Linked DNA regions of Lepisosteus oculatus. The protein of the gene in region 1 purifies or fractionates together with the protein of each later gene. This does not show direct contact. Links are inferred from orthologs where the notes say so. Each region holds a gene or a part of one and is shown on either strand. Other genes may lie near its edges.

The links.
Region 2: the proteins of trim33 (region 1) and FACT complex subunit SSRP1 purify together in Homo sapiens (affinity purification with mass spectrometry; 3 studies listed by BioGRID and IntAct, with this or other methods). This does not show direct contact. The link is inferred for Lepisosteus oculatus from reciprocal best matches to the Homo sapiens genes TRIM33 and SSRP1.
Region 3: the proteins of trim33 (region 1) and skila purify together in Homo sapiens (affinity purification with western blotting; 4 studies listed by BioGRID and IntAct, with this or other methods). This does not show direct contact. The link is inferred for Lepisosteus oculatus from reciprocal best matches to the Homo sapiens genes TRIM33 and SKIL.
Region 4: the proteins of trim33 (region 1) and smad2 purify together in Homo sapiens (affinity purification with western blotting; 7 studies listed by BioGRID and IntAct, with this or other methods). This does not show direct contact. The link is inferred for Lepisosteus oculatus from reciprocal best matches to the Homo sapiens genes TRIM33 and SMAD2.

The regions. Positions count from the first base shown.
Region 1 is NC_090700.1:32,460,934-32,468,731, forward strand, and holds the start of trim33 (E3 ubiquitin-protein ligase TRIM33), read left to right. Parts: upstream 1-4,796; 5' UTR 4,797-4,824; coding exon 4,825-5,317; intron 5,318-7,798. Other genes in the region: bcas2 (pre-mRNA-splicing factor SPF27), read left to right, coding at 171-251, 457-583. UniProt on the Homo sapiens protein: Acts as an E3 ubiquitin-protein ligase. Promotes SMAD4 ubiquitination, nuclear exclusion and degradation via the ubiquitin proteasome pathway. According to PubMed:16751102, does not promote a decrease in the level of endogenous SMAD4.
Region 2 is NC_090701.1:42,561,912-42,569,161, forward strand, and holds the start of FACT complex subunit SSRP1, read left to right. Parts: upstream 1-4,238; 5' UTR 4,239-4,664; coding exon 4,665-4,718; intron 4,719-5,046; coding exon 5,047-5,232; intron 5,233-6,626; coding exon 6,627-6,732; intron 6,733-7,205; coding exon 7,206-7,250. Other genes in the region: pold4 (DNA polymerase delta subunit 4), read left to right, coding at 711-735. UniProt on the Homo sapiens protein: Component of the FACT complex, a general chromatin factor that acts to reorganize nucleosomes. The FACT complex is involved in multiple processes that require DNA as a template such as mRNA elongation, DNA replication and DNA repair.
Region 3 is NC_090708.1:13,841,518-13,849,487, reverse strand, and holds the start of skila (ski-like protein), read left to right. Parts: upstream 1-4,963; 5' UTR 4,964-5,261; intron 5,262-5,271; exon of another isoform or gene 5,272-5,378; intron 5,379-5,417; exon of another isoform or gene 5,418-5,872; intron 5,873-6,350; 5' UTR 6,351-6,478; intron 6,479-6,908; 5' UTR 6,909-7,061; coding exon 7,062-7,970. UniProt on the Homo sapiens protein: May have regulatory role in cell division or differentiation in response to extracellular signals.
Region 4 is NC_090698.1:17,846,508-17,854,170, reverse strand, and holds the start of smad2 (mothers against decapentaplegic homolog 2), read left to right. Parts: upstream 1-4,660; 5' UTR 4,661-4,679; intron 4,680-4,685; exon of another isoform or gene 4,686-5,087; 5' UTR 5,088-5,224; intron 5,225-7,663. UniProt on the Homo sapiens protein: Receptor-regulated SMAD (R-SMAD) that is an intracellular signal transducer and transcriptional modulator activated by TGF-beta (transforming growth factor) and activin type 1 receptor kinases.

The DNA.
Region 1 (7,798 bases):
AATGTAGAGTGATTTCTACATTGTGTTTTAAGAAATCTGGTGCTTGTCTAAGTCAAAGTGTAAAAGCCTAACTTTGTTGCTCTTACGTGCCATCCCATCAAAAAGGGAACATCGTTCAGCAGTGTTGATTTGTGTTGAATGTAATTTTGCATTTTTCCTCCCCATCTCAGGAAGCAGATTCAGGATCTGAACTGGCAGAGGAAGAACGAGCAGCTGACGGGAGGCGCAAAACTGCGGGAGCTGGAGTCCAAGTCAGTACCCATGCTAATGTCCTCATAGTCACTGACACAGCAAAGTGCTTAAAGCCGCCGGATATTTTTACAGAAGCAGAAAAAAAGTATTACTTTTTTGGAGCCTTAAACAACCTTAACCTTTGAATTCAAGAAAACGTAGACCGATTAAACCAAACTATATTGAATAGGCGTGTTTACTGATCTGGACCTTTGCTCTTTTTAGCTGGGTGTCGCTGGTCAGCAAGAACTACGAGATTGAGCGTGCCATCGTCCAACTGGAGAACGAGGTGTACGTGCTGAAGCAGCAGCAGGGAGAGGAGAACAAGGAGAACATCCGGCAGGACTTCTGAGTCATGGAGCCAGCACTGTGCACAGCAATCCCAAAGCAATCAAACTGGAATTCCAGCAGCTGGACAGTGCTCTCACTTTCCCCATGGAGCTCCTTACCTTGTTTTAGTATATGGTCTGAAGGCGTCAGCACTTCAAGATTATCTCCTTTGGACAGGACTTTATCTTGGGCAGTTGCTTTTCTATGTAGTTGCACCCCAGATGTCAAAGGAGGTCGGCTATTTATTAAGTATAATGTTTGACAAACTGCCCTCTTCTTAGTAATACCTTTTACTCAGTGAATTTACTCAATAATCAATTTGAAATAGTGTCATGGGTTTAATCAGCAGCTGAATGTTTTAATAGTCTGCACCTCTGTAAGATAAGTGGCTATGTACTGTCTTTTCTCTGCACCCTGCAGGTTTGCCACTTGAACAGGGGGGTTGCTGGTGTTCACTGCTTGTGTTCTCTTGAGCAGAGACAGGAGTGTTGCCTTTCTTTCCTGCCAGCCTTTGGAAGCTAATAGGAAGTGGACTTTATTGACTCATGATTGCACAAGACCTTTAAATCTCACTTCTTCAGCAGCCCTTTTTAATGATGTTTTTGGTTTGAAAAATGAATTCTCACTTTTTATACTATAGGTAGCAAGTTCTGAAAATGACCAAATCCTTTTTGTTTCAGTGGATGGTTTATATCACTAACTCTTTGTTAACTAATAAAGCTCCGAGTCTGAAGCAACGCTGAAGCTAAATACTCATACCTTTTGGCTCAGACATATTTTGAAGTTGATTTCTTTGTAATAAAAATGTCAAAATTTAAAGTTCTATCTTCTATTTATTTAATATGCATTGTATCTTTTCGTTAAAAGCTATAAGGATGGTTATCAACGAGAGGTGAGCACTGGGCCCGTCTCGCCTGTTTGGTTCATAATAACTTCTTGATCCATGGACCTTATCCAGTAATTTCTTGAGATATTCCAGAGAATTACCTTCCATAATGTAAGTGGGAAATGTGTTCCAGACTCCCACAACCCTATATGTTCAATTGTGCTTTCTAACAAATGCACTTCCATTTAATTTTGATTTTGCCTTAGTGGTTTCCATTCCATTTTGGGTCTGTTGACACTTGACTTGAATGTAACCCTAGCCTTTCAGCAGGTCTTTATAGGTCTTGCTTAAATCATCAGTTTGGAATGATTTGGAACAGGTGTGAGCTGGTGGTAAATGAGTGGAGGCCTTTTCTTAATTCCCCAGAAACCAACAGATTGCACTTCTTATCCTGAGAACAACAACTGATTAAATGCTACAACTGGAAATTGTCGAAACTGCAGGTTAAAAGGGGCTACAATTCCAAGGCCAGGGATTATCTACAGTATGGTCGCTCATAACAGAATTCCTGTTCTCCTTTGTTAGTGTCTTGCATGTTGCTGGTTAAGGATACCAAGGGGTCTATGGGTCACTGTGTGAAGGCAAGATATAAATCAAATCACGTTGCCAGATGTTTATCAATCCCGGATCTAAAGGAGCAATTTAGGGGATTTATCAAAATACTTTGGTGCAGACTTGTACAACAAGCTGTTGGTACACAATAAATTACTCCTACCTGAAGCAGAGCCAATGCTGGGTATGCAGTGCATTTAAATGTGGCTGCATGGTCTGGCTGACAAAAATGTAGGCAAAAAATCAGCTACTGTTAATTCAGGACCTTTTTCTAGACCTGGGACATTGTTTCTCAGTGTTAAGTACTTTGTTTTAAAAGCATGAAGCCAGTAGCTCCTCACTATTTTCTTCGAGTTTATACTGTAGATGTTTTTTTTAACTGATTTGTTGTCTGTTCATGTCTCCCATGTACTGTGACTTTTTGTCGGTACAGAAAGCCTCTTAACACACAGATGTGAATGTGCGCTGTATGTTCAGTGCCTATTATCGGCATAGAAGGCAACTTCATCATGGTGGCACCTATTGAATTTGGGGTCTCCGTGACTTTTAGGAAGCAAAAGAGACCATGTTTAGTCTGTGGAGCCTTCTTCGGGTGTCCTTTAGACTTTTAGAAAGCTGCATACAGGTATGCAGTTTCTGCACAAACGGTTAGTCAGAACTCTATGTCGTCGTCACACAGCCCTCTAAGATCACAACTAAAGATGTGTGCAGGAATACAGTCATTATGGGTAAGAAAAAAGAGACAAAGCAGATTTATTTCATTTTTTGTTATACGATGTTTGTGAGAAGAAACGGCTTAAAATTGCAAGGACTTTTGGAAACAGGTACCCCAATTCAGAAGAGCGAATGCTTATCACCGAAGCATTTGTTGTAGCAAGGAAATTAAACAAACTACCTTAAATAGGTTAGCAAGGCCTGAGCCGTGAGCAAGGCCCTTAACCCCAGCTGCTCCAGGGGCACCGTGTAAATGGTTGACCCTGCACTCTGACCCCAAGCTTCACTCCCCATCTGTGTGCCTGTGTGTCTCATGGAGAGCAAGCTGGGGTATGCGAAAAGACAAATTCCTAATGCAAGAAATTGTATATGGCTAATAAAGGGATCTTATCTGATCTCTTATAGGTTTAAAATCTGCCAATCTGTAGGACAATAATAAGTAACATGAAAGCTACACGGATATTGATTAAAAAGATAGTGGGTTTTAGTGGGAAATTAACAATGAATTCTGAAATTGGAAAAAAAAGTTTAGAAAAGTCTCGTAGGGGATTACTCTACTTTAATATGGAAATATCTAGAAAAACATGACTAATTTGTTAGTAATATGGGAGTCATGTTATGACAGTTGTTCGCATGATCAGTAGGCCTATAGAAGTCACTGCTGAGTTTTTGCGCACATCACGCGTACAGTGTGAGCCTGACTGGCTTGATTTTAAAGGTTACGCAGTGCGTGTTAATACGGTACGCAGGACTAGGATCGGGATTTCCAAACCGCTGTCCCTGTATAGTGATCTGGAACTGTTCTGTAGCAGGTGCTGTCCTGTCCTTTGGATGAGACGTCATATTGAGATCCTGAATATTTTGTTATTAAAGATCCCAGGGTAGTGCTCGAAAGAGCATGTGTATAAACCCCCGTGCCCTGGGTAAATTCCACTCTGGGCTGCTACTATCTGGTCTCTCTAGATTTCCCCTTGATTCAACTGGTGAATAACATCTCACTTCTCCATCTGATCTCGTTTGTAAGTGGGGACTGCAGCCGTGTAATATAGCTACCGTGCGTCACCCGGGTGGAGCACCATTTCAGTGGATAATGCCAATAATTGTTCAGCTGACGCCCAGATCCGGGACTTAATTTCAGTGTGTATATAAAATGTGCTTTTCTAGAAATATGGAACGCTTTTCAAATTTGCGAATGAAGCATGACCAACTGTCCATTGAGCTGATCTTTCGGAATGAAATCGCAAATAATTATTAAATCTGAACTCTGATGAACGTGCTCGTATTTTAATATTTATTTTTTTAGTATACTGTATGTAAGACACCATTATTTGAATTCCCCTTAAAAAATGCCTGATATTTTTTCTTGATTTTTTTCGTTTTTTTAAATGTTACTTCTGCACATAGACAATTACGAGGTTACCAGATTTAAGAACTCAAAATACCCAACATACAAAATCCTAAAACCAACCTAATGGACTTCAAGATCAACAGTAAACCACTAAATCAGGGGTGTCCAATCCTAGTCCTTGATCTGCCCAGGTCACTATTTTAACTGGGCCGAATTTACAGCTTCTCTCAACTGTTAAGGTGCTGCTTTAAAGAGCAAGTAAACCTGCAGACACTCACAGAAACATATTTATCATCTTGCTCCCCATATACTCCACTGGGGTAGATTGATTGTTTTAATACTTTTATTGAACATTAACTAATACAACCAAAGGAGAACCGATATACAAAGGTATAAGTGAAGAAAAAAATCACAAAGAATACGCTTCTATTAAAAATTGGACACAAGGAATTAATACATTTTTTGTTTCGTGAATGTGGTATCTATCCCATATTACTAACATTAACTATACCTATATCTAAACATTTCTTCTATATGATATGTTGCAAAGTATAACATCATACCAAAACTCCTTAGATCCAACATTCACATTTTAATACTTAACGATAAAGTTTTGCACTCTGTCCAAAGCAACAGGTAACGAATAAATGAGAGAGACTTTACTGGCGATAGGACCCTGGGTGGCTCTCTCCTACGTCACCACACCCGCCTTGCGGCGTTTTGTTGGTGCGTGAAGCGTCAAACGGTTCAAAGAGGAAGCAAGATGGCGGAAAACAAAGACGGAGGGGAGACTGAGAGCCCCGCAAGCAACAATCCCGAACCTTCCGGGGAGGACGACGGCAGCAACCCGGCGGCGAAAGAGACCGACGCCCTCGTCATCATAGACCCGGTCCCGAGTGCCGAGGAAGAGGGTCAGCCCGACAATAACAACTTAGGCTCGACTCCGAGCAGGGACGCTGGGGGAGAGAGCAGCGGCAGCCCAGCCAACAGCAACACCGAGAACACCGGGGACGCCGAGGAGCCCGCCCCGGCCTCCACGTCGGAGGTGTCCTCCCCTTCCCCGGCACCAGCGCCTCCGGCACCTCCGATCAACCTGCTGGATACCTGTGCGGTGTGCAAGCAGAGCCTGCAGAGCCGCGACTGCGAGCCCAAGCTGCTGCCATGTCTGCACTCCTTCTGCCTGCGCTGCATCCCGCAGCCCGAGCGCCAGATCAGCCTGCAGCTGCCGGGCCCGCACGGCCAGGACACCCACATAGGTGAGTCGGGAGGTGGGGGGGAGTTTGTAGCCGAGGATCACTCTGGCATCGGCTTTCTGGAGGTAAGAGGGGGGGCAGCTCGGCACGGGTATCGGCAAACCACGTCGTGCGGGGCTGACTGCACGGTTCCTAGGCAGCTTTAACGTTTCCCAGCGGCAGGACACACTTCTATCAGCAGCGAGTGGGAAGCCCAGCCAAAGCGGCGGGTCGAAGGTCTCGTTGGCCAGCCATGATGTGTAACATCTGGGCTTGACTGGCCAGCGGCAGCCGATTTGGTGTTGCGATCGTGTGGTCTTTCACACGGATCCCGATCGCGCTGCTGGCCGCTTGCCGAGCTGTAACGTGCTGCATCTGTATTCTTACAGTTTTTCGGCGCAGGACCCCTTCAGGTTGGCAAGCAGAGTGTCCCTACAGTGCTTAGAATGACCGAGAAGCGTACGTGAAAGTGCCTTTTCGTGTAGTGTTTTTTTTTCCTCCCTTCAGCACATCAGCTGTTGTGATCGAATTCGACTCCCCGCGGATGTATGCCTCCCCCTGCTTGTGCGCATGTGCGCCGTGATCTTTCCATCAAGTGCTGCCCGTCTGTCCGTCATGGTCACCTCGCTGCTCGCTGGCCGTGGAGGTTCCGCCTTCATGCTTTCGGGCTGAGCTTCCCTGCCGTGGTCAAGCAAGCACGCCTGCTAACCCACTGGGGGGGACCGCACGACCGAGTCTGATCTCAGACCGTCCCTCACGGACTGAAGTCCTCCTGCTGGGTATTGGTAGCCAGGCTGGATGTTAAGGTCTGTTCAGCCACAAGCATGAGCCCAAATTGTAGACCTGAAACATTGCTGGAAATAAACACCGCGTCGTCGGGCAATCGCAAAAAACCCCAGAAATCGGCAGCTGAAGTTGGCACATGGTCTACCGTTTTAGTGGTCCTAAATCTGAAAGTTTCAATGTATCTGACGACTTCTTGCCGAATTGTGTTCTACCCATGTGGTTTGGAATATAGGATGGTCCGGAACTAAAAGTGCTCATCAGAGGTAAACATGAATGTTTCTTAAGGGAGACCTAATTCAGGTAGTTCATTGATTTGCCACCTTCGAACATCTCTCATGGGTGAGCCGGGTTGCTCCTGTTACCTTGTAGGTTTCCTGTGACGGAAACAAATATTGGACTTGTTGTGTATTTTACACGGAATGTAACACCTCATACCGTGTAGTTTGAAGTAAACAACTACGGACAAGTCTAAAGGTAAACTGTTGTTTTTATTGTCATTTGTAACTTATGTTAACAACTGACTATGGTAACACTGAGGCTGGTTTAAGGTTTAAATATCCTCTTTTATTTGGAAGAAAGTGGATGTTAGCACTAGGTACAGTCTGGTTGTGGTGTTGTAGTAAATGATTGAGATCAGCATGAACTAGGAAGGGGCTGTGGTGGAGATTTCTCTTGCTACACATTCCTTTATATTTATTTTTGAATGCCGATCTTGTAATGGTTGCTTATAGTAGTGCATGGACTGGTACCTATTGCTAACAAGACCCACTTGATGGTGATGGTGTCAGAATCCGGGCTGTCACATTTGGATGTCAGAGAGTTTGTTTTAAGACCACTAAAGTACATTAGTCATTAAGTGCCATAAATTCAAAGGTAATTCTTGAATATATTTGCTTCCAGTTTGCTTAAACTAGTGATATATACTAGAGAGTTATGTTTCCTGAGGCTATTAAATGGCTTTAAAACCTTGAAAGATGTTATTCAAGGTCTTCTTCTAATGTATTCTTCATTAATGGTTAAGATATGTTATGCATTGCACTTAATATTGAGTGTACTTAATCGTAGTATTGTTCAGTTGTGGAATTTATCTGACTGCAGCTATGATTGTTGAAGGACTAAACACTAAGATATATGAATGCCCCTTTTTAAAAAAGGTTATTAGGTTACAGTTTCATAATTTATATATGTTTTACTATTGCATGTCACTACTTTGACGATAAGAATGATCGGTAATTCTGTGACTCCTAAACCTGTTGCTGGTTTAGGTAAATCTTTAACCATTGCTTATCCTGTGATAAATACTCAACTGAAAAGGATGCTTATTTTTCATTTTTAATTTGAATGTTCAAATAAGAATGGACATTCAAATGAAGCAATTTGTAGTGTGCTGTGCAAACGCTACTTGTATATAATGAAATAGAACATTGTATGGCTAATTTTCATTTATCCCCCTGTAGTCAAACACTTAAGCTACGATGTATGCACACTGTAAAAAAACTTTATTCAAATATATATCCACATAAGGCATTGGGATATTATACAGCTGAGTGATGTCTTATTTAGCTGAAGGGTGACGTGTTTGTGTACAGTTTTAAAATCCTCATTTAACAGGCACCAAAGCAAACACTGTTAAAAATGGTTTTGGAGATGAAAAGGTCTGTTTGTGAAACTGAACACAAAATAGAGAAGACGGACACACAAATTAGGAAGCCTGGTCTT
Region 2 (7,250 bases), on another chromosome or scaffold:
TGAGTTCTGAGGAACAGCCTTTTCCAGGCAGTGTCCGGGTGGTGTGAGCACTGTTAGATTATTGAGCTGACAGTGCTCACTGGGATATCCAGGCACTGTGATATTTCTCGTACTCATTGCCTAATCTATCCAATTTTTAATCACTTTATCTCTGATGTCCTTAGAATGCTCTTTAGTCTTCATTTTCATGGCTTTATAGCTTTACTTCAGATTCACTGCCTGACCAATGATCCTGAAACACACTGGGGGTTTTATCCAGTAAATGTGACAGTCACTTCAGTAAGTGTGACAGTGACTAGGCAGGGGCCAATGGTAACACAATTGTATCCTTGTCAGGGCAATTTCATTCACCTGTGTTAATTCAGAGCCATGAGATTAGAAGGGCTGGAATACTTATGCAAGCAGCATATACACACCCGTATACAGTATATATACTGTGCACACTGTACACACAGTCTACTCTATCTATATACTGTGCATGTGCACACTGTACACAAACTCTCATTGTATATATATATACTGTGCACACAGTACACACTACTCTGTATATACTGTGCACAGTACACACACTCTACTCGGTATATATGCTGTTCAGTCTCTACACACTCTCTACTCTGGATATACTGTATACTGAAGGCATTGTGAGTACTGCAGAGCATAACTTGCCAGTGTGCACACAGTGTAATCAGTCCTTTTTCTGTGTCTTCCAGTCTGTGGCACGAGTACCCCCTGTGACCCAGCGCTGTGGAGAAGAGAGCGAAGAGTGAATGTCTTCAGTGTTACACACACCAGCACCTCTATTCCAGAGCCCTGCGCTCCTCTTTTATACTGGATTGTAATCACAGCTTTGACATAGTGATTGTTCAAGAAAGATTAAAATTTTAGATTTTGGAAACTGCATTTCTCATGCCTGGTCTGTCTCAGTGCAGTGTTAATGTCCTGTAGTGTCCAGTCAGTGTATCTGGACTGTATTAACCCCCTCTCTCTCAGTGGAGTGTAAATGTCCTGTGGTGTCCAGTCAGTGTGTCTGTACTGTATTAACCCCTTTCTCTCAGTGCAGTGTTAATGTCCTGTAGTGTCCAGTCAGTGTGTCTGGACTGTATTAACCCCTCTCTCTCAGTGCAGTGTTGATGTCCTGTAGTGTCCAGTCAGTGTGTCTGGACTGTAATAACCCCTCTCTCTCAGTGCAGTGTTAATGTCCTGTAGTGTCCAGTCAGTGTGTCTGTACTGTATTAACCCCTCTCTCTCAGTGCAGTGTTAATGTCCTGTAGTGTCCAGTCAGTGTGTCTGTATTGTATTAACCCCTCTCTCTCAGTGCAGTGTTAATGTACTGTAGTGTCCAGTCAGTGTGTCTGGACTGTATTAACCCCTCTCTCTCAGTGCAGTGTTCATGTACTGTAGTGTCCAGTCAGTGTGTCTGGACTGTATTAACCCCTCTCTCTCAGTGCAGTGTTAATGTCTCTCTCTTGCTCCTTCTCTTATTTTCTGTTCCATTACTCTGTTTTCATCTGTCCCCCCTTCTCTCTCCCTCCTGAAACATGATCTTCTACATCTCTCTGTGTTAAACCTATTCACCTCGAAGGCACTCATTAAACACTTCAGATTGATCTCTTTATCGCTCATAAAAGAAGGAGAATTTAAAATGAAAGAGAGAAGTATTTTAATGTGATGGTAACACCCATCTTCTTTCACAATCGTTCCTTCACACACACACACACACTCCCTTTCCTCTGCATTCAAACACATCAGCCTGACACCTTGTACTCTCAGAAAGCAGAGACGTGTTGGGATTTTCTTTTTTGTTTCCACTTAAAGCTTCACTTTTGAGGAAGAGTTGTGGGAGTGTGGAACAAGCTGCCCAGCCATTTTGTTGAAACTGATACCCTGATGTCTTTCAAGAAACATCTGGATGAAATTCTTGGATCAATTAACTGCCAATTATCAAAGAAGGCGAGATGTGTCAAATGGCCTCCCTTTGTGACTTGTGATGTTTTTCCGAGTATACTTTTACAAAAACAACGTAGTTTTCATGTACTGTAGAGTCCACTCTGTGTGTACTGTATTAACCCCTCTCTCTCAGTGCAGTGTTAATGTCCTGTAGTGTCCAGTCAGTGTGTCTGGACTGTATTAACCCCTCTCTCTCAGTGCCGTGTTAATGTACTGTAGTGTCCAGTCAGTGTGTCTGGACTGTATTAACCCCTCTCTCTCAGTGCAGTGTTAATGTACTGTAGTGTCCAGTGTGTCTGTACTGTATTAACCCCTCTCTCTCTCAGCTGTTTCCGTGATGCTGCTGGTTAAGACCTCATTGCCAGATGGTACAGTTTTGTGCAGGAGGTATACGTTAAGTTTAAGCAGTGTAGGACTGCTTAAAAGCTCTCCTGTTTCGTCCTTAATTGTGAAAGTCTCTGGTCTCTCTCCCCCCTCCCTGGTCTCTCTGTTGGAACAGGACTAATCCTAGATTACCAAAGCAAACAGAGTGTATCTGTCTCACTGTGTTCAGTGCCTCTTCTTTCTCTTCCTATTGTGCCCCAGTCATTCCTGAAGCATTAGCAGTGTTTGCTGGGTGATTACTTTAATACCTCCATGGCACCTCACTCTGACAACTGCTACACCAGACTGCACACATAGTGTGGCCACAGCTAGTGTGTGCATGGTGCAGGAGAGAGATTGTGTGTTTTGTGTGTACAGTATGTGAAAGGGAGTGTGTGTATTGTGTGTACAGGGTCTGAGAGAGAGAGTATGAGTGTGTATTGTGTATGCAGTGTAAGCAATTGTGTGTATATTTCACATGCAGTGTGTGAGGAAGTGCGAGGGAGTGTGTATGTATTGTGTGTCAGCAGGTGTGTGTGTAGTGTGTGTAGTATGTGACAGTGAGTGTATGTAGTGTGTGTAGTCTGTGTGTGTGTAGTCTATTTGTGCAGTGTGTGTGCAGTGTGTAGTGTGCATGTGTAGTGTGTGTGCAGTGTGCATATTGTGTTTGTGTAGTGTGTGTGGTGTGCATGTGTAGTGTTTGTGTAGTGTGGGTGGTGTGCGTTTGTAGTGTGTCTGGTGTGAGTGTAGTTTGTGTAGTGTGTGTGTGGTGTTTGTGTAGTGTGGGTGGTGTGCGTTTAGTTTGTGCAGTGTGCGTGTCGTTTGTGTAGTGTTTGTGTAGTGTGGGTGGTGTGCGTGTAGTTTGTGTTGTGTGTGTGGTGTTTGTGTAATGTGGGTGGTGTGCGTGTAATTTGTGTAGTGTGTGCCAGGAAGCGCGGTGTTTTTACAGAACAGTCCGGACAAACCCGCTGCACTGATCGCTACAGCCCGGCTGCTTTGTTTCCCCACAAGGCTAAAGCTTTCAGTTCACAGACCCCATGAATTATACATTCCTCCATCTTAAATTATATTTGTCTGTATCTTTGAAGTTTTTCAAACACTAGAGTGATTCTGTCCAGAAAAATATTATTGGACGTATTTGCGCCTCCCTGCGACACTGAACCGACAGCGGCTGCTCCGAGCACGAAAACCTCAAGCGCGGTCTATGTCTCCCTCTGCTGTCAGAGTGTGTGTGTATCGTTTATACAGTGTGTGAGAGTTATTGTGTATACAGTTCGTGTGTATTGTATATACAGTGTGAGTGTGTGTGTGGTGTATACTTCATGTGTATTGTGTGTACAGTGTGAGTGTGTGTTGTGTACTCAGTGTGAGAGAGAGTGTGTGTATTGCATATACAGTTTAAGTGTGTGAATTGTGTATACAGTATGAGAGTGTGTGTATTGTGTGTAGAGTGTGAGTGTATTGTGTGTACAGTGTGAAAGTGTGTGTATTGTGAACACAGTGTGAGAGTGTGTGTGCATTGTGTATCTAGTGTGTGTGTATTGTGTATACAGTTTGTATGTATAGAGTGAGAGTGTGTGTATTGTGTCCAGTGTGTGAGTGTGTGGATTGTGCACTCTGTGTAAGCGAGTGTTTGTGTATTTGTACACGTATGAGAGAAGCAGTTTGTAGAGCGTGTTTACTGTGTTGTCTCACTAAGCCCATATAAACTCTCCGAGGCCAAGACAGCGCCTCCACGGTCCCCACGGATTGTGTGCGCTATTACGGTAAAAGAACAACAATAACCATACAAATTTATGCGTTGTAAAGGTCGATAGTTCATATAGATTGTATTGGGTTTGGCTCGCCCTTTTCAAGCGGAGGCAGAGTAAAATACATTGCGCCAGTTCATTGTGTTATACGGCAGGTCGTAAGGAAGCGGAAGTCAACGCTTTGAGTTTCCGGCTCCTCTTCCGGTAGAGGCCCAGGTGGCGGGTTTGACGCGGGAAAGTGTCTTCTGTAACACAAGTAATCACGATTTCCGAAGACATTTTACAACAGGGGCACCGAAAGTTGTAAGTCCAAGAAGACTAAGCGCATGTCCTTTCATTTCTTCGCAATCGAAATTAACAGTTAAGAGACGCAGCTGGGGCACCGCAAAGCAACATTTTAAACCCCTTGTTATTTATGCGCTACGTTGTGTTGACTCGGCGTGGTGACTTACTGAGCGCCGGGAGAGGAGTCGTTGGTTTCGAATCGTGCCGGGCACTCGGAGCAGTACCATACCGCACCTCGTTGTTGATAGAGCCCGTTATTTCGCAGCTACAGACATTTGAAGTCTCAGTTTTTAACCCGTGGAGTGTCGCAGTGGAAAAATGGGAGACACTCTGGAATTTAACGAGATCTACCAAGAGGTGAAAGGATCGTGGGTGAGTTACACTGAGCTCTCTCTTCCTCTGCATCTCGGATTGAGAAATATTCAGTGGTGACGAGGGGCTTATAATTTTGAGAATTTTACTGTTGTTTGTAGTCGTAGGATATACTGTATATTCTCTCTCAGTGCAGTGTTAATGACCTGTAGTGTCCAGTCAGTGTGTCTGGACTTTATTAACCCCTCTCTCTCAGTGCAGTGTTAATGTCCTGTAGTGTCCAGTCAGTGTGTCTGGACTGTATTAACCCCTCTCTCTCAGTGCAGTGTTAATGTCCTGTAGTGTCCAGTCAGTGTGTCTGGACTGTATTAACCCCTCTCTCTTTCAGAATGATGGTCGTCTGCGTCTCAGTAAGCAGGCTGTGGTGTATAAGAACAGTAAGACCGGGAAGGTGGACAATATCCCCGCGAGTGAGCTGACAGAGTGCGTGTGGCGGCGAGTGTGCCTGGGTCACGGGGTGAAGCTGCTGACCAGCACAGGACACATCTACAAATACGATGGCTTTCGGGAAAGTGTGAGTACACTGGCCAGCCCCCTCACACGCCGCCAGAGATCGAGGACAGGGATGTTGTGCCGTATGGATTTCATGAGCAGGGTCTGTCTGGCGGAGTCTGTTAGGAGAGATGTCTTGGCTGCAATAGAATGACAGGGGTTATGCTGAGCGTGTGTCTCTAGTACTCTCTCTCTCTCTCTCTCTCTCTCTCTCTCTCTCTCAGTGTACAGCCCTGTGAGAAGACGCACTGTCAATTCAATTCAAGGTGCTTTATTAGCATGACCGATGGGTACAATCAGTGTTGCCAAAGCAAATGAAAGTAAAACAAAAAATAGAAGTAAAATAAAATCTACAGACATTTACAACAAAGACATATTATAAAATATTGACATATACTTTAGGCGGCTGGAGCATTATTGGGAGACAGACTCACCGTTCCTCAGGCTGTGACAGGAGCCTGGCCATAGAAACTGGGCGACACAGGCAGACCTGGCTGCCCGGAGAGGACAGGCTGTGCTCCCACTGCCAGCGGGGAGAAATGGAGACAGAGGTGCACTTCCTACTGCACTGTGAGGTCACTGTCTCTCTCTCAGTGTACAGCCCTGTGAGAAGACGCACAATTTAGTTCAATTCAAGGTGCTTTATTTGCATGACCAATGAGTACAATCAGTGTTGCCAAAGCAAAACAAATACAATTAACGTAAAACAAAACATCTACAGACGTTTACAATAAAGACACATCATAAAACGTTTACTTATGGACATATGGAGCATTATTGGGCTACAGGTTCACTGTTCCTCAGGCTGTGACAGGAGATCACATACTGGGCTGCCAATTCAACTGAGTTCCCTGCTCCCTCTCCCAGTAGGATTGGGACACTCTCTCATTGTACAGCCCTGTGAGAAGATGCACACATTAGTTTCCTTCCTATCTGTTATCGGGTTTTGCATTAGGATGTACAGTAGATGTTCGTAAACATCAAACATCTAAAGAACACATGTTTATTTGAGAAACAAGACGTCTTAATAGAGCTGCAGTCTTTTCCCAACGGCATCATGTAGCTCTGGAACGTGTGAATGATCTCTTCAGAGAAACAAAAATTGTCGTTCAGCAATCCTGGAGCTATTTGGACCAAGTTCAGTGCAACATACAGTCTAACAAGTTGATGTTGGTGTGCACTTACAAGTGGATGAGACCTCTGAGAGTTTTGTGGTAGATGATTTCTAAGGAAGCCCGATTGCTAGTGTACTGGTGCGGGCAGAGCACCTCCATCTGGATCAGAACGAGTCCGCTGTCCCAGGTTGGGAATTGTGGTCCTTCGTGTCCCCCAGGTGCCTGCCTCTCAGTGGGGTCCTTGTAGGTCTGTGGGCCTGGTGCCCCCCTGAGCTGATGTCATGCCCTCTTATGTCCGCAGGACTTTGAGAAAATATCGGAGTATTTCAAGAACAATTACAGGGTGGAGCTGATGGAGAAGGACCTGTGTGTGAAGGGCTGGAACTGGGGTACAGCCAAGTTTGGAGGTACGCCTTCAGGACAAGTACAGACAGGGTGTCATCACTGTTGTCAATTTCATACCCTTATGCAGGAGGGTTTAAGTATGAAAAAATATATACTCAGTGTGTGAATCTGTATCATACTAACCCTTCTCTCTCAGTGCAGTGTTAATGTCCTGTAGTGTCCATTCAGTGTGTCTGGACTGTATTAACCCCTCTCTCTCAGTGCAGTGTTAATGTACTGGAGTGTTCAGTCAGTGTGTCTGGACTGTATTAACCCCTCTCTCTCAGTGCATCCAGTGTTAATGTACTGGAGTGTTCAGTCAGTGTGTCTGGACTGTATTAACCCCTCTCTCTCAGTGCAGTGTTAATGTACTGGAGTGTCCAGTCAGTGTGTCTGGACTGTATTAACCCCTCTCTCTCAGTGCATCCAGTGTTAATGTACTGTAGTGTCCAGTCAGTGTGTCTGTACTGTATTAACCCCTCTCTCTCTCTCTCAGGTCCTCTGCTGTCATTCGAGGTCAGTGACAGTCCTGCGTTCGAGG
Region 3 (7,970 bases), on another chromosome or scaffold:
ATTTTTTTTGGCAGCTGTCTTTGTTTTCTGATACCAGTAAAATTATAGGACGTGGTCCTGTTTTAGCAAGTGATACAGACGTAGCTGGAAAGCGACAGTCTGGAGCTGTTCCTCTGAACTGAGGAAACCGAATCTGAGGCCCAGCAGCTGCATGTCTCCTGTCTTTGTGGAAGGAGGCAGCAGTCGCTCAGTAGTTTGGAAAGAGAGGTGAAAAAGAAGCTAATGATCACCATAAAGAAAAGGAAAAAAAAAAGAGTACTTGAAGCAATATAGTCTTCAGCATGTGGAAACCCAAAGTTGGAGAGTAAGGTGAAATACCGCAATGATATGCTGTAATTAAACAATATTAATTAAATGAAAAAGTACATTATACAAAAGCAATGTATCTGTTTTTTTTTATCAAAGTGAAAATGAATAACAGATATTTGTATGTCCTCCAGGAAACTGGTAGAAAGACAGGTAATGGGGAAAGTGGGCATCTCCGTAGAAACCAAAACCGCAATGGCCATGGCTTATGATGATCTGAGTAATAAATTAATGCATCAATATGTTTTTGTATGTCTGTAAATTAGGCTGTGGAAATGGTGCTGTACAATATCATCAATGCCAAATACATTTTTTTTGCTTCCTTAAAAGCATCAAGTTTGTTTTGTTTTTTTGGCCTCTGTGCCATTTTAAATTGAAAACACTTGTTAAGGGGTGAATTGTAAGTATTCAACGCAGGAGGCATCTTTGCTGTTTGATCTATTCAAAATAGTGTTAAAGAATGAAGAAAGTCTAGTTTGCACATTTATGTTGCTGCTGTATAAGACTAAGTACCAAGGCTTTATCTTTTACCACTATACCTCTTTCATTCTCATTGACATGCCCTGAATTCTAAATCATTAAGGTGAGGAAACAAAATACTTTTCAAGTCACCTTCCCTGCATGATAACAAGTTCTGATTTTTTCCCCATGAGTATATCTCACAGTGATTTCCAGTGCCCTTTTTCATTATACCTTTGCATTTCTAATAGCAATGTTCTTGTGAAATAAGTGTGATATACTGTACATCACTATGTTAAGAACAAAATTGAACCACTACAATATTCTGTATTTAAAAAAAGGCAGTTCTGAATGTAGAACTTCAAGGGAGCTATCTCATACCCTGGAGAGCTGTGGCAGATAATTGACAAATTGGGGGTTTCTACTGTTATTCAAAGTAGCGGTAGATATGAAGTTAGATGGTGATGGATTCTCAGGACCTGTAACATAGGCCATTCCAGCCGCAGAGCCAGAACGGCACAGGTAAAATGTCAGATTACCCCCAGATAACAAATTAACAAATATCCTTACTTCCACAATTCTGCACTTCATGTTTATCAGCAGTCTCATGACAAAGGTGCTCAGAGGCTGGATGGGCAGAGCTCTTTAATGAGCCACAGCAGTTAACACAGGTTGGATAAAGTATAATTCAGACATTGAACATTTGGGTGATGAGGGGCAGATGGAAAACCGACCTTTCCTGTGACCCATCTAGCAAATGTCTCTGACTCCTCACAAAACAATCACCAGCCACAAAACCTGTATAACCTTGAGGGTCTGTGTTAATGATCTGAAGGGCAGAAGATCTGAACACACTCACTCTTTAATTGCAGAAGTCTATCTGGAGGTGGTACCCTTAGAGGATTAATTAAGCATTCAAACAAACTCGCGTCTTCCTGGTGAAAATCCATTGCATGCCAAGGAGTATGGATGGGGTAAAACATTGATTTACTATGCATATTAATTACAGTTCAGTAAGGTTTCCAACATTTTTTATTATGTATTCTCAATCCGTGGTTAAAGCTTTGTCATTTTTAAAAATGTTACCATTATTTGCTTCCATTTATATTGCATAAAAGCTCGATTTGGCAACAGTATTATTCATAATTTATTTGTAACGTTCCTACATGGACACGTACTACTTCATCTTCAAGTGACAGTACAGTAGGTTACTACCTTGAAAACTGTTCTTGTAAGAAAGAAACACGATTTGAATACAAAATATTTAAAAATAAAATAAAAGGCCAGTTTTTGTTATTTTAAACCCACTTTGCCATTACCAATTTTCATTACCATCTTTTCAAATATACACAATTTATGTTTGCTATCCCATAACATGTATATACGACACTTGATAAAAGTCACTTTTTGAGGGTGCAATTAGAGTCTCGGAGGAGCCAATGGCAATAAAATTAAAATCACCGACTAATAATTTGCAGTGACCAGCCTGAACTAAGATTTATTTTGATAAAGAAAACTGCTTGTATTTTTTTTCTTCCCTTTAACACAAACGTTTCGGGATAGTACATTGTCATTAACAATTTCCTTTTAAATAGAAGACAGGAAGTTCTTCGGCGCCAGGATTTAAAACGGGGATTCCCAAAATCCGTTGAGTATAACGAAATCCATGACGCGGTTTTTACACTTGACAGAATTTTGGAGTCGCATACCCGTAAGTTGGTCTTGATAAGTAAATCGCTGTATGACACGGTTTTTAAATATTTAAACCAGAACATTCATGCTGTTTAAGTCAGTTTTATATTTAAAACTCCTGCCCAAGCCACCAAACCGTGAATCACTATTGCTGGAAGCAAACTCAACATTCCTTAATTTTGTCCTTCACACAGCACATAGTAACACTGCCCATAGCAAGGTTGTGAGTCACAAAGATTTAAAGTTTTTCAGACTGAGTAATTTGAAAATCTAGATCTGTATAGAGGAGAGGCCAGGGTCACATAGAAGCGAATAGCTAAGTATTATGAATCATTTTTCTTAGGAATAGTTAATGGTAAACAATATCGTCGCTTGCAGACGATAAAATATTTGTCAGACAACAGCGACAAATTTTTGTGCGCATGTTCCCAGGCCTTTGAGGCAAAAATCTAATATTTCATAAACAATTATTTTATTTTCGCACCACAAAAGTATTACGCTGTATACCCAGTCGTGAACCTTGTGGAATGATTTATTCTGCAACCGTGCTTGATCAATTACGGTAAGTACTAGCTATTCGAAAAGACAATTCATTCGAATAAAAAAAAGATCTGTGTTGATTTCTGGTGAGTAAAACAGACATTTTCCAGTATCTCTGAATTGTAACGAGTCCATAATACTGTTGCTCCCACTATTTTATGTACAGTGTATATTCTAACAGGGCCCCCTTGAAAAGGACATGGTGCAACTCAAGGGGTTTTATCCTGTCAATAAACTTTGATTTTATAGTGGAGATGAAGTAAGCTCTCAAACACAACTGTTTTTTTTATGTTTAGCTAATGCACAACACGTATGTTTCATTAGACATTTTTACATATCTATGTGTTCTGAACACTTCTTCACAGTTTCCCATTTTCCTTTCAAACGTTGTTTCTGCCTGCCTTTTCTTGAACAGTCAAAGCCTTATTTGTATCAAGGTTCCGTGAGAACAGAAGTCGGACATAAATTAAAATTATACATTTGCGTTTTTTCATCGGTGAAGACAAGAAGCTTTCTCAAGCAAAAAATTGCCATCACCTACTGGGAATTTATTTTTTACATCTGGTTGGTGGATACAGTACACCCTTAGATTTGACCCTGCTCACATTCTGAAAAAGAATTGTGTGGATGAGACACGGGTGTATTATCAGCGTTGAATTGACTTTTTTGTTTATTTTTTTTCTAATTACTAGGAATATGTAAATTCACATTAACATTCACGAACCTCTGGTTTTGGTCTTTTCTCGGTTAAACTCTTCACCGATGCACACACCAAAAACGCCTTGCCATTTCATCTGCCAAAGTAAATAATATAATGTTAATATTCTAACAACACTCAATTCACTGAGCACTGACCTTGACAGAGGGAAATGTAATATCCCTTAATTGTCTAGGCACCAGATGAGATCTGACACAGTCCATGAATAATAAATCGTTGCAAATATGCACTAATGCTTCCTGCTAGGAGTTCATATCGTAAATATGTATGTATATTGAAAGTAACTTAGTGTGTATTAAGTCCGTTCTAAGAAGGATGTCATCAGAAGCAGTGAAAATAAAACTATCACCTGATGTAATGAAATATGTTGTACATGTTTTATTCTTCAGACACTTCAGACATCTCTCGTAATGTAATGCGCTGTGTCCGGCTCTTTAGCTGGAAGCGTTATATTTTGCCTGAAATGGCAAGAGGAGTAGTGTTTTTTACCGTTTTATTTCCTGGAAACAGGCAATCTCTTGACATCTAAAGCAGAAAGTTACACGAATACTACATATCTGTCACCACAGTGAACTGTTCCGTGTCTGGAGTTTCCGTGGGAACAGAGTAGGCTGCAGTTAAACACACATTTGACCAGATTTAGATTTAAGTAAGCCTTAAGTAAGGCTTTTAGTTTTGTTCCGAGAATTTTTTTTCATGTCAGAAAAACAGAACTCTTTTGTCGTTTACAATTTTAGATCAATATGCCGATAAACTGAAATTGTTGATTATTACAATAGTACTATCACGTAATATACATTATAAACCTTGAGATTTAAATGTCTCCTTGACAATAATTTAATACGTATTTCTACAGTGATTTTAATCGCCCTGCTCTACAATGGTAAACTGACCGTGTATGGAAGGACGATTACAGTCAAATTATGCATAAAGATATATATATATAGTTCATCATTAAACAGTTTACACTGAGACAATCGGTACGGGTTGAAAGACAATTAAATGCAGATATTCATATAATTGAGACAAAGGAAATAAAATACGAAAAAGAAAGAAAAAAATCAAAGAAACGGGACTTCAATGGAGATTTGTCTGTGTGAGAAGGGGAGTTAGCGTTTCCTGAGACTTTTCTGTCGAGAACATTTTCTTCTTTCCGTTTCAAGTAACGCGTTTGTCGTAGCAACCGAAACGGCACCATCGCCTCAGGCGTCAACGGAGTTACAGGCGGCTGGTGGTGACATCGCAGGCTGGGCCGTGTGCCCGACTGCAGAAACAAACACAAGCCCAGACTGCGAGACAGACACCCACGTCTCGTTTTTCCGTGACAAGCCCGTGTGCTCCGAGCAGCCGGGTGACGTAGCCTGTTGGGTTGTGGAGTGACGTGGTGAGTCTGTGTGTAGTGATGTGTCTGGCTGCTTGCATTTTGTTGACGGTCGGGCACGGAGCGAGGGGACACGGAGAAGAGGAGGGAGGAGAGGCGAGAGAGGTGGATTTTTTTCACACACAAAAAAGAAGGTTACACGCGGGCGACCAGGATTTACACACGGTAATTAGTCACTGTCACCGGGCCTCTGTACCACTCCCCTCCACGAAAAGAAAATCGCACGTTTACCCTGTAAACAGCATGCTGTACTGTACTGATGGCAAGGTATGGGAGCTGAAGGTGTGTAGCTAGCGAGTGAATTGACCAGTTTGCACTGGGGCGATACAGTTTTATTGCACGCATGCTATCAAGGGAGGTCGCTTCGCTGACGCTGTTAATTTGTTTTGGGTTGCTGTTCTTAGCCACACACACACACCAAAAAAAAAAAAATATTGCGTTTAAAAAAACACGAAATAAAAGTAGCAACTGAAGCACAGTAAGGTATTTCCCCTCTGTATCGGGGTATCTGTTAGCTAAGTATTATTTCTAAAACGCGTTTTCTGGTCGACGAGTGCAATTCTGATTATTCAAGGATTGCCCTTCCTCTGTTCGGGGATATACTCGGTTTAGGACGGGGGCACCAAGGGTTTGGCTGTGCGGTAGCGTGTGTGTGGGGGGTGGGGGTGAGAGGCAGGAAGAGAGTCCCGTGAAAGGTGTACGATACAGTGAATGTCATGAACACTACACAGGCGAGCCGGTGGCACAACATAGTGGAGGAAATAAAGGAAAGAGAGGTAGGTGGGGAGAAAAGCGAGTGAGTGAGAGTCGTGTGTACGCTGTCCTTGCTAGGAAAGGAGGGAGGGGGGGGGGGGGGTGCACCCGGAGCAGAGTAACGAAATGTCAAGATACAGCAGCCGCCACAACAACGCTGAGCGCTGCGCTTGAAAACCATCGGTGTCCGAGCACACTGCAGAGCGGACAGGGGGACCGGGCGGAGCGGTGACTATCCGCTAGGAGGAGAAAGCGGCGTTTGGGCGAATTTGGGACGAACCGTTAAGATATCGGGTGAACCAGCGTACTGTGCCGTTTAGTCATCAGCCAGCCCTTGTGGACGCGGCATCACCGCGACTAGCTCACGCTGAAACATCGGCCGGGACTCGAGGGGTAGCCTGCTTCTGGTCGACTGAATTGGGGATTCACTCTGCCGCACGGACTGTCGTTGTTATTGCGCTACAGTGGATACATGTTTGTTTTTTTTTACCTCGATTGCAGCTTTATACTTTGCTCTACATCCGAACCATCTGGTGCATATCGGAGAAGGTCAATGCTGTCGGCGGTGCTTCAGTTGAACCTGACTGGATCTAAGCGGAACTGAGACGATACTGGAATTCAAGGCTTGTGTAAGTTAGACATCTTCATCCTTTACCTTTGAGAGAATTTTTAGTTGGGTCATAATTTGTATCTATTTATTTTTTCTTTACCTGTATCATATGATCTGTATAACACTCCCCCTTCTGTTACTTTGAGCATTTAAACGCCACTGTCTAATTTAAGAAACTTATTTTATTATTGTATGTTTTGTAATTCCATACATATTGGACCCTGTCACGTCTCATTAGAAACTGTGGTTCTGTACGCACCAGTCTGTAAAAGACTGCATTTTTCCTAATAAGTGCAAATATACCTGGTTGTTCTTTTAATATGGAGAAGAGCTTGAAATAAGATTTATACCAACATGTAAGACACAGGCTGAAAAGAATGTCTGGTGTAACATTTTGTATTATGCCTAAAAGGATTAAGATGACTGTTCTTCTTGGTTGTTTTTTTTAGGATTAGTATACAAGTGTGCAGTCCATCACAAACATGTATGTAAAAGGAAAGATGATAATCTACGATTGCCGTGAATGTTAAGGAGCACATCCTTTCAGGAACAAAAAATAAAGACACACGCCAACAATAACAACAAAAACTCAAAGGAAAGGCATGGCTGGCACGCCGACCACTTTGAAACACACTTTAAAAGACGTGGCCTTACTCAAAGGAAGCATGAAGCGGCTGTGCAGAGAGAGACTGGAAGACGCCCCTATTAAAAAGAGGGTGGTGGCAGAAATACATCTGAAACGCCGGACTCTGGAAGGAGTCCCCAGAATGCCAAAAGTCAAGCAGGAACACACGGAGGACCCCGGGGAAGCAGCTGTCTGCGAGAGGGAGAGACAGGGCAGGCAGCTGCCCGTTCCACCATCAAAGGCCCTGGACCTCAGTCCGGGCCTCAAGCACACGCTGGCCCAGTTCCACCTCAGCAGCCAGAGCTCCCTGGGTGGGCCAGCTGCGTTTTCTGCACGCAACCCCCAGGAGTCGCCCAGTGTCTTTGTCCCCCTTCCTTCTCCGCCAGCGTTGCCTGGCCCGCTCCTGATCCCCTGTGACAGTTCCACCGAGCTCACTCACTCTCTGCTGGAGGGCGAGTCCATCTCTTGCTTCGTGGTGGGCGGCGAGAAGAGGCTGTGTCTCCCGCAGGTGCTCAATTCCGTCCTGCGGGACTTCTCCCTCCAGCAGATCAACCTGGTCTGCGACGAGCTGTACATCTACTGCTCCCGCTGCAACGCCGACCAGCTGCACATCCTGAAGGTGCTGGGCATCCTGCCTTTCAACGCGCCCTCCTGCGGCCTGATCACGCTGACGGACGCCCAGAGACTGTGCAACGCCCTGTTGCGCCCCGGCGCGCCCCTGCAGGGCTCCTGCAAGCTGGGGGGCAAGGCCCTGCCGGAGGAGGGCGAGGGCAGCTTCGCGGTGGAGCACGAGTGCCTGGGGAAGTGCCGGGGCCTGTTTGTGCCGCGGTTCTACACTCAGCCCGACGCGCCGTGCATCCAGTGCGCCGAGTGCCAGCTGATGTTC
Region 4 (7,663 bases), on another chromosome or scaffold:
CTCCTCTGCTCTGGACAGTCCTGTGTGAATCATACTTTGCCTCGGAAAATTAGCAACGACCACAGAAAGGTACTAACACTATTATAATTAATGATATTGGGCTTCATTTAGCTGTGTGAGCGATGTTGATATACATTATGCATATACCTATAAAGTACTTGTTACATATATCGCACATTAATATAGTGTTTACTGTAAGTACTGTAGAATCTTTATGGCACTGTTTAAAATAATTTTGAAGGATTTCAAAACAACTCTTATAACAACTTTATAGAACAAATATTTCCAAGTCAATTAAATAAACTAAAAGATTTAGGAACATAAATTAAAGATAAAAGTCCAATAATCAGATAAATATTCAGAGAAAATTAAAGAGAAATCCAATACATTTTATAAAACAGATTCAAGCAAAGGCAAATGATTGCATGCTGTGGTACACGTCATAAATCCTGCATGTTTTATTCCCAACAGTAATCTTTAAAACAATAGCAAAACCACAACCGTTCTTCTTATTCCCCTCAAAAACTAACCATTGAGATTTTATACAAGTCTTAATTACACATGGATGTTGCCTCTAAGGCAGATGACATTCCACATGCTAACCAGTAATAAGATGTTTACCATAAGGCCAAAATTAATTTTCAGATAAAGACGCATAATGGCGCCATCTGGTGTTCAGCATCGGCATTAACGCAGTTTGCAACTGTTTCCAACTCGGTACAACGAAACACGAAAAAGCACCTAAGCCCCAAAACTTAATTTTTGATCATCTCTGATCTACCAACTATATACCTTCTGTATGCTTGAAAGTCCTTGTTACAGAAGTGGTCACAGGCAACTCTTTACAGGTCTTTTTCCTGACATACCGAAAGTATATCTAACAACTACAAAGCCTATGAAATATAACTAAGGATGAAAATAATAATACTAATAATTGCTTACTATACCGCTTTTCTGGACATTCCACTCAAAGCGCTTTACAGGTAATGGGGATTCCCCTCCACCACCACCAATGTGCAGAATCCACCTGGATGATGCGGAGGCAGCCATAGTGCGCCAGAACACTCCCCACACATCAGCTATCAATGGGGAGGAGAGCAGAGTAATGAAGCCTATTTATAGATGGGGATTGGTAAGGGCGAATGGGAACTCTGGCCAGGACACCGGGGTTATACCCCTACTCTTTTCAAGAAACACCCTGGGATTTTTAATGACTACAAAGAGTCAAGACCTTGGTTTTACCTCTCATCTGAAGGACAGCACCTTTTTTACAGTATAGTGTCCCCGTCACTACACTGGGGCATTAGGACCCACACAGACTGCAGGGTGAGTGTCCCTACTAGCCCCACTAACACCTCTTCCGAGCAGCAATCTTAGTTTTTCCCAGGAGGTCTCCCATCCAGGTACTAACCAGGTTCACACCTGCTCAGCTTCAGTGGGTTGCCAGTTGTGAGTCACAGGGTGATACGGCTGCTGACAGTATACTACTGACTGAATAAAACACATATCACACAGGATATTTGGAAACCGGAACTAGAGAGCCATAGAAAATATGAAAAAATGTTTCACATATCCTTATGTTTTAATTAACTGTTTTAATTAAGAAATGAATGGATCAATACTTACAAGATGACACGTGCCTTGAGGAGGAATTAGTGCCTATGGATAACAACAAAAACACTCACCACTGGCTGTGTCACATTCAGGTTTAACACCACGTGTCTCTGGGATAGCTGTTGTAATGATTGAATTGATCAATAGGATCCTGAAATGTTTGGCCTGATATTGTGGATACTGTTTATATATAACTGATCTTATACAGAATTAGGGACATCCTTCTTCACCCTATACATTTTAACAAGGAGGCTGATAATAAGTCACTGTCCCAGTAAAATTAAAGTGGACCCCGACTTAGAATTTTCCTTATCAAAAAACTTTTGAGTGGTCAAATCTAAATGTGCATTTTGAGGCTGTAAGCTGGAAGGCATGCAGTACCATCAGCAGTTTGAGCTCATGGTGCCATTGTCACCACAGAGACACCCTAAGCTTTGACTTCCCTCAAAGGCCACATTCCAGAATGTTAAATGAACCTCTTTTAAACCAGCTACTGTTCTGAAGACCCAGGAAAAGTGTTCAATTATCTCAATGGGCTTAGAGATCAGGCTGAATGAAACCCAGTAGGGCCACACCTATCCATCGCTGGGGTTAAAGGCAAGTTCAGAGCTGAGGCTTCTGTACTTAAGTAGTGTCAAATGGAGTTGGATGTACAACAGGGCTTCCAGTATCAGGAACATCCCCAGGGCCCAAGGCCAGGGAAAACAAGAAATTAAATTAAAATATACTGAGGCTGCAGAAAATTAAGAACATTATTTTTCTTCCATGAATGGGCTTCTATTTTTTATCCAAATTAGCTGTCTTCCTACAAACTATTCAGTTTAATTGGATATCTACTAAGAAGGACTAGAGTAACACTTTTTTACAGTACTTAAGTGGTTCGAAAGGTCCCCCTGAGAACAGCACTTACATAACAGTGCTCCGGAGTGCTATTAGTGTTGTTTTTCAGTTCTAAGCATTATAAAAATAGAAATAATTATCTTAATGGTGCAATTTATACAACTGCACTTTTCTTCTTGGTTCTTTTCTCACCAATTGAGCTTCCTTTGTGCTTTGCAAGATTTTTTTTCGTTTACATTCCTGTTTTGTTATTCTCTGTTTTGCAGGTAGAGTCACAGGGAAAAATAAAATACAGAACTTTAATAGCATTGTATCAAACTTTTTCCAACAACAGTCTCTTTTTGACAACAGTGTATTCAACATAAAATATAAAAATCCAGCATCCCGAAGACAGCAAAATGTTTTTTTTTATTTCTGACACTCATATGACCTCCTGTCACTTTATACTCAACACAGACTATATTCAGCCACAGCTAGAGTGCGCAGTGTGTTTCCGTCTGTCTCTACAATGTTCAAATCTTTTTAAATCTGTTTCCCTTGTTTCTTTCCCAAGTTGGCAAAAAGCTACACTCACCAACAGCCACCTGCTAGAATTACATAGCTGTACCGATGCCTGAAAATAAAAAAGTTAGTTCCACTATCAAATTCCTTCTTTTTTTTCACAAAAGCTATCAAAACATTAATCGGGCATCTAGTCTCAGCCACAGGACTGCATGGAAGGTGCTAAAAGAGAAGATAGATTTTATAGAAGCTTATTTTAACGTCCCTTTGCTTTGCTCTTGGGGAATTAATACCAATAATTCATTATTTCTCGCAGGACAGTCGTTCACACAATAACTTTGGCCTCTGCAAGCTGCTTTGGATAAAGGTGGATCTACACGCTGATCCTAAGGAGATGCTGCTTTTCAGTTTCGAGTGAAGAATACAACAAAAGGAACAGAAATACCTTTCGGGCCCCGATACTATCTAGAAAGATACAGTCTCTCAAAGTGCTCCGTCTCAGCTCTTCTATGAGTGTCTCTCGGAACAAGAAAAAAAGGTAAAAAGCAGAATTCATACATTTTCTACACAGCCTGTTGCAGCATATTTAGATTTGCACGAAAGTTTGATTACTTCGTTTTACTTCATTGTAAAGCCTCGTTAATTTTTGGGTTACCATATATATTTTTGGAAAGCGATGACATATTACTTGATTGACTTTTTTACCATCGGTTCGGTTATTAAAAATGAGCGGAAAATATTTGAATTATTCTGTTATTAGGTATCGTAAAGCTAAGGAGCTGGATTTCCTAACATACAAGTGCCCAACTTAGTTAACCTGACCTGCAGCGTTTCTGGTGTAATGCAAAATCAAATGTATAGAAAAGTAAAAGTTCTTTATGTAACTATGGCGATATGAAACCGCTTTTGTCATTATGTATTACATTTTGTTTTTTATACTTAAAACATAATTCATCTGACAATTTTAAGATTTGTCAACATGCTGTTCTTAAACCCACAGCAACGCAAATGAAAACACGTAGAAAAACTAAGGTCAATTTCAACAGTACCTTGTTTACCAATAGTTTGCATGTATAAATCCATCTAAAAAGGTGCCACATGTTTTTGGACAGTGATTGTGCACGGGGTTATGTGATGAATTATGTAACTACTGCAGCACAGAACCAACAATAAATATTTCAGTCCTGCCATGACACCACACAAGACTTCAGCCTTTCTCCATAACGCATAATCCACGCGCACGTGTCCTCCCTCTTTCTTACTAAAACTTCCACATCCTGAAAGAGAGCTCTACTTTGTCTTCATCTGCTTTGGCGGAGGAACACAATAGCGGTACAGCAACACAAATGTTTTGAGACGATTCAGCTAACGCACCAGCCTCCTAATCCCCACCCCTCCTCTGAGCCAAATCTATTATGAAGTCATTTGATTGACAGTAGAATTCCCAATTGAATCTCTGGATGTAATCTAGACGCTCTATTGACAGAGCGTTTCGGCGAATAAAAATATATATGGGGTGTACGTAACTATTAGTTCCTGCTTGCGCATGACGATGTATGGTTGACACTTCCTTTAACCAATCGCGAGCATGATGTATTCTGAGCTACGCTCTTCGATCTACACTACCACCCAATAGGAGGTTAAAAGGCGGGTTTAATCTCGGGAAGCTGTCGCGTAGCTAACCGTGGGGATAGATAGGTTGTTGAGTGCGAGGCCGTTCGTCTGTGAGTGTGTCGGGGCGACTGGGGGAGAAGGGGGAAAAAACTCGCTGGAAAAAATAATTTATAGATCTGTAAAAAAAAATATTTAAAGCAAACGTTATTTTAATTAATCGTTTGAGCCTCTAGTCCCCTTTCGCATGATACTGCTTGAAAGGAAGTAAGAGTATTTTGCTTGAGATAAAGAAGGGCGGGTTGGAAACATGTTTTAAAATCCTGTTTATTTTTCTGTCACCTAAAGTAACCCTAAATATTCCCCGGGATTTTAATTCGCTGGCTAGCCTGAAAACGGAAAAAAACCCCGCTGACAGCCTGCCGAATATGAACTGAGATTCCTGCCAGGGATATAGCCTTATCTGGTTGTTTTGTGGATAAACATCGGCGACGATCCTGGGTTTTATTGTTTCATTGTAGCTCAGTTAGTGGCTGCGGGGTCGCTGGGCTGCATCGGACAGCCCGTGCAAGATCAAGATTTTCGTCAGCGGCTTCAGCACTTCAGCAAAGTGGAACCTGAGCGTTGATCAGCAACACTGTACTTAAAATCTTTCGAGGTGAGTTTTTTTCAGTGTGTGTGTGTGTGTTTTCTCCTAGCAGTCCATGGATTGTTAGTGCAGCGATGTTAGCTGATGTACTTTAGCGACGGCCTGGCCTGTGTTGCATGCTCGATGTGATACTTTTTCGATCTGTTTCGCTTCACTTGAGATGTAACTGTAGTTGGGGCTTTTTTGTTTCTTGGAAATCCGCCCAGAGACCGGTTCTCTTATTTTTTTCCAAGGTATTTTTGGTTTTCGAAGTCCATGCTCGGGGCTTTGGCTTTGTGAATATGTGACGATGGGTGTTACGTAACGGCAATTGTTGCTGAAAAATTGTGTGGGGGAGAGAGATGGGCAAAAACTTTTCACGTATTTTGATTCCCTGGAGCTGTCTTCGTATTTCTGTATCTGGTAAGGAGCCCTAGGGTACTTTAGTGTCCATAAGCGAGGGCAATCAGTTTTTGCAAGTTTGTTCATTTAATCGATCAGATGGAGTATCTTAATTTTAAAACATTTAGATCACAAAATCCTGATCTAATGATCATGAAGTGATTTCAGTCTTTTAGTTTGGATGACTTGTCATCTTTACTTGTGAGGTAAAAAGGGCTATATTAAGTTCAACGAGATTCCTCAGGTGTCGATTAGGACTAGCTTCCAGTACCGGAAAATGGTACAGAAACATTTTGTAGGGCGTGAATGTGAGGATTTCTTTGTTCATAACTCGCGAATTCTGTTTTTTTTTTCGAGTGCATTTAATTTTAGGCTTTGTAATTTGGTAACTTCGAATATGTAACACATATAATCGAATATGTAATGCCCATGTTTGCAAGCCCTAGGTGAAAACGATTGCGCACGTCTTTTGTACACAGGCTTGGGGTTGTCACTTACCTCTCAAAAGTTTAAATAAAGCTGTAGAGGCTGGCTGAGATATTTTATCAACGTTTCTTAAAATACATTTCTTTTTAAATTCTTTCTCGATGGCTTCTGTTTGGAAAATAGTTTGATTAGCTTCGCCCACATTAAATTAGTGGGGTATCTTGTTTTTAACACTTAACAGTGCGACGCCTTTTGGGTTTGGTTGAAGGTTTCACGTCTTGTAAAATTTAAAATAATATGTTTATGCTACAATTCCTATGATGCGCTTGCTTCTTCACCATATTTTTACGTTTATTACTCATTGTCTTCCTTTGCAGCCGCCGCAGAAATCGATTCTTATAAGTGCTGCCTGAAATCGTTTTTGTGACAAGATTTTCGGCTTTAAATAACAGTCTCTTAACGTACTGGATTATTCTTGCTCTCTCTTGAAGTCTTTTTGCTTTCTACTTTAACTCCACACGTCAGAAGAAAAAAACACTGCAATGCAAAGTGTCAACTTCAGTCTGTGTTTGAAATAACCATAGTGAAAGTTAAAGGCACGTTTATTACCATTTCTGTATACACTACCGCATGTGCAAAGAGGTGGAAATCCCATTATAATGCTGGAAAACATTTTGATGCATATTTTTTAAACGATTAAAAAATTCTCAATTTGGATTTTTTTGTGGTGGTGGGGGTGGTTGTCATCTGTCCCTGATAAAGTGTTGCCCGTTAATTTATGAGTTCAGATAGTTGGTTTTCCTAAAATTGGTGTCTAGTATTGTAAATCCTTCTGTAATGATTTGTGTGGATTTGAAGTGAAGTGACTGTTCCCAGTCCAGCACTTCCAGGGGTCTCTTTAGAAACTGCTGAACTGGAAGTGATTGTTTTGCTGAACGGAAAAATTTTGATATCGCCATAATCATCAATATTTGTTGCCTTCAAACTCTTAATAGTAATTAAAGGTGGGTTCTAGAAATTGATGCCCATTAGCAAGTGTTGCAGCAGCTGTTTAATTAATGTGCTTGAGTCTCTCACATCTTTGGTTGAGGTGTGCTCACTTTTAAGTTGTCATGTTCCATGATTGTTGCTGGAAAGGATCCATGATGATGTCTGCACGACATCAAATCTTGTCTTTCGTACAATATTTCTTTCTGCTGACTGCTAAGTACTTAACTGTTCATAACGGCTAGGATGTTGTGGTTTACATCATGCTCTAGTACAGTATGTATGGTAAAAACGTCTGGGGATCGTTTACACAAGGGGGGAATGAGTTGAATATGAAAAAGAGTGCTTTTGTGAACACCGACAACATAGCCTTTTTATTAATGATTAGGCCTACCTGTTATATAGTCAGCATAACAAACTCTAAACAATTTGAGTCTTTCTGTTTGCAGTTTCTAACAGTGTAAGTTTACAAGGCATGTATTAGACAGTTTCTTTATAATAAGTGCATGAAGCATTCGCTTAATGTTGGCTTGAGTGTACTTATTTCTGCATTTATACTTTTTTCAACCTCTCAAATCGGCCAAGTAAAAAAAAACCAAACCTTTTCTGTTGCAGGCCTTCATCCTGAAAATGCCTGTGTTTTATTAATAAGGA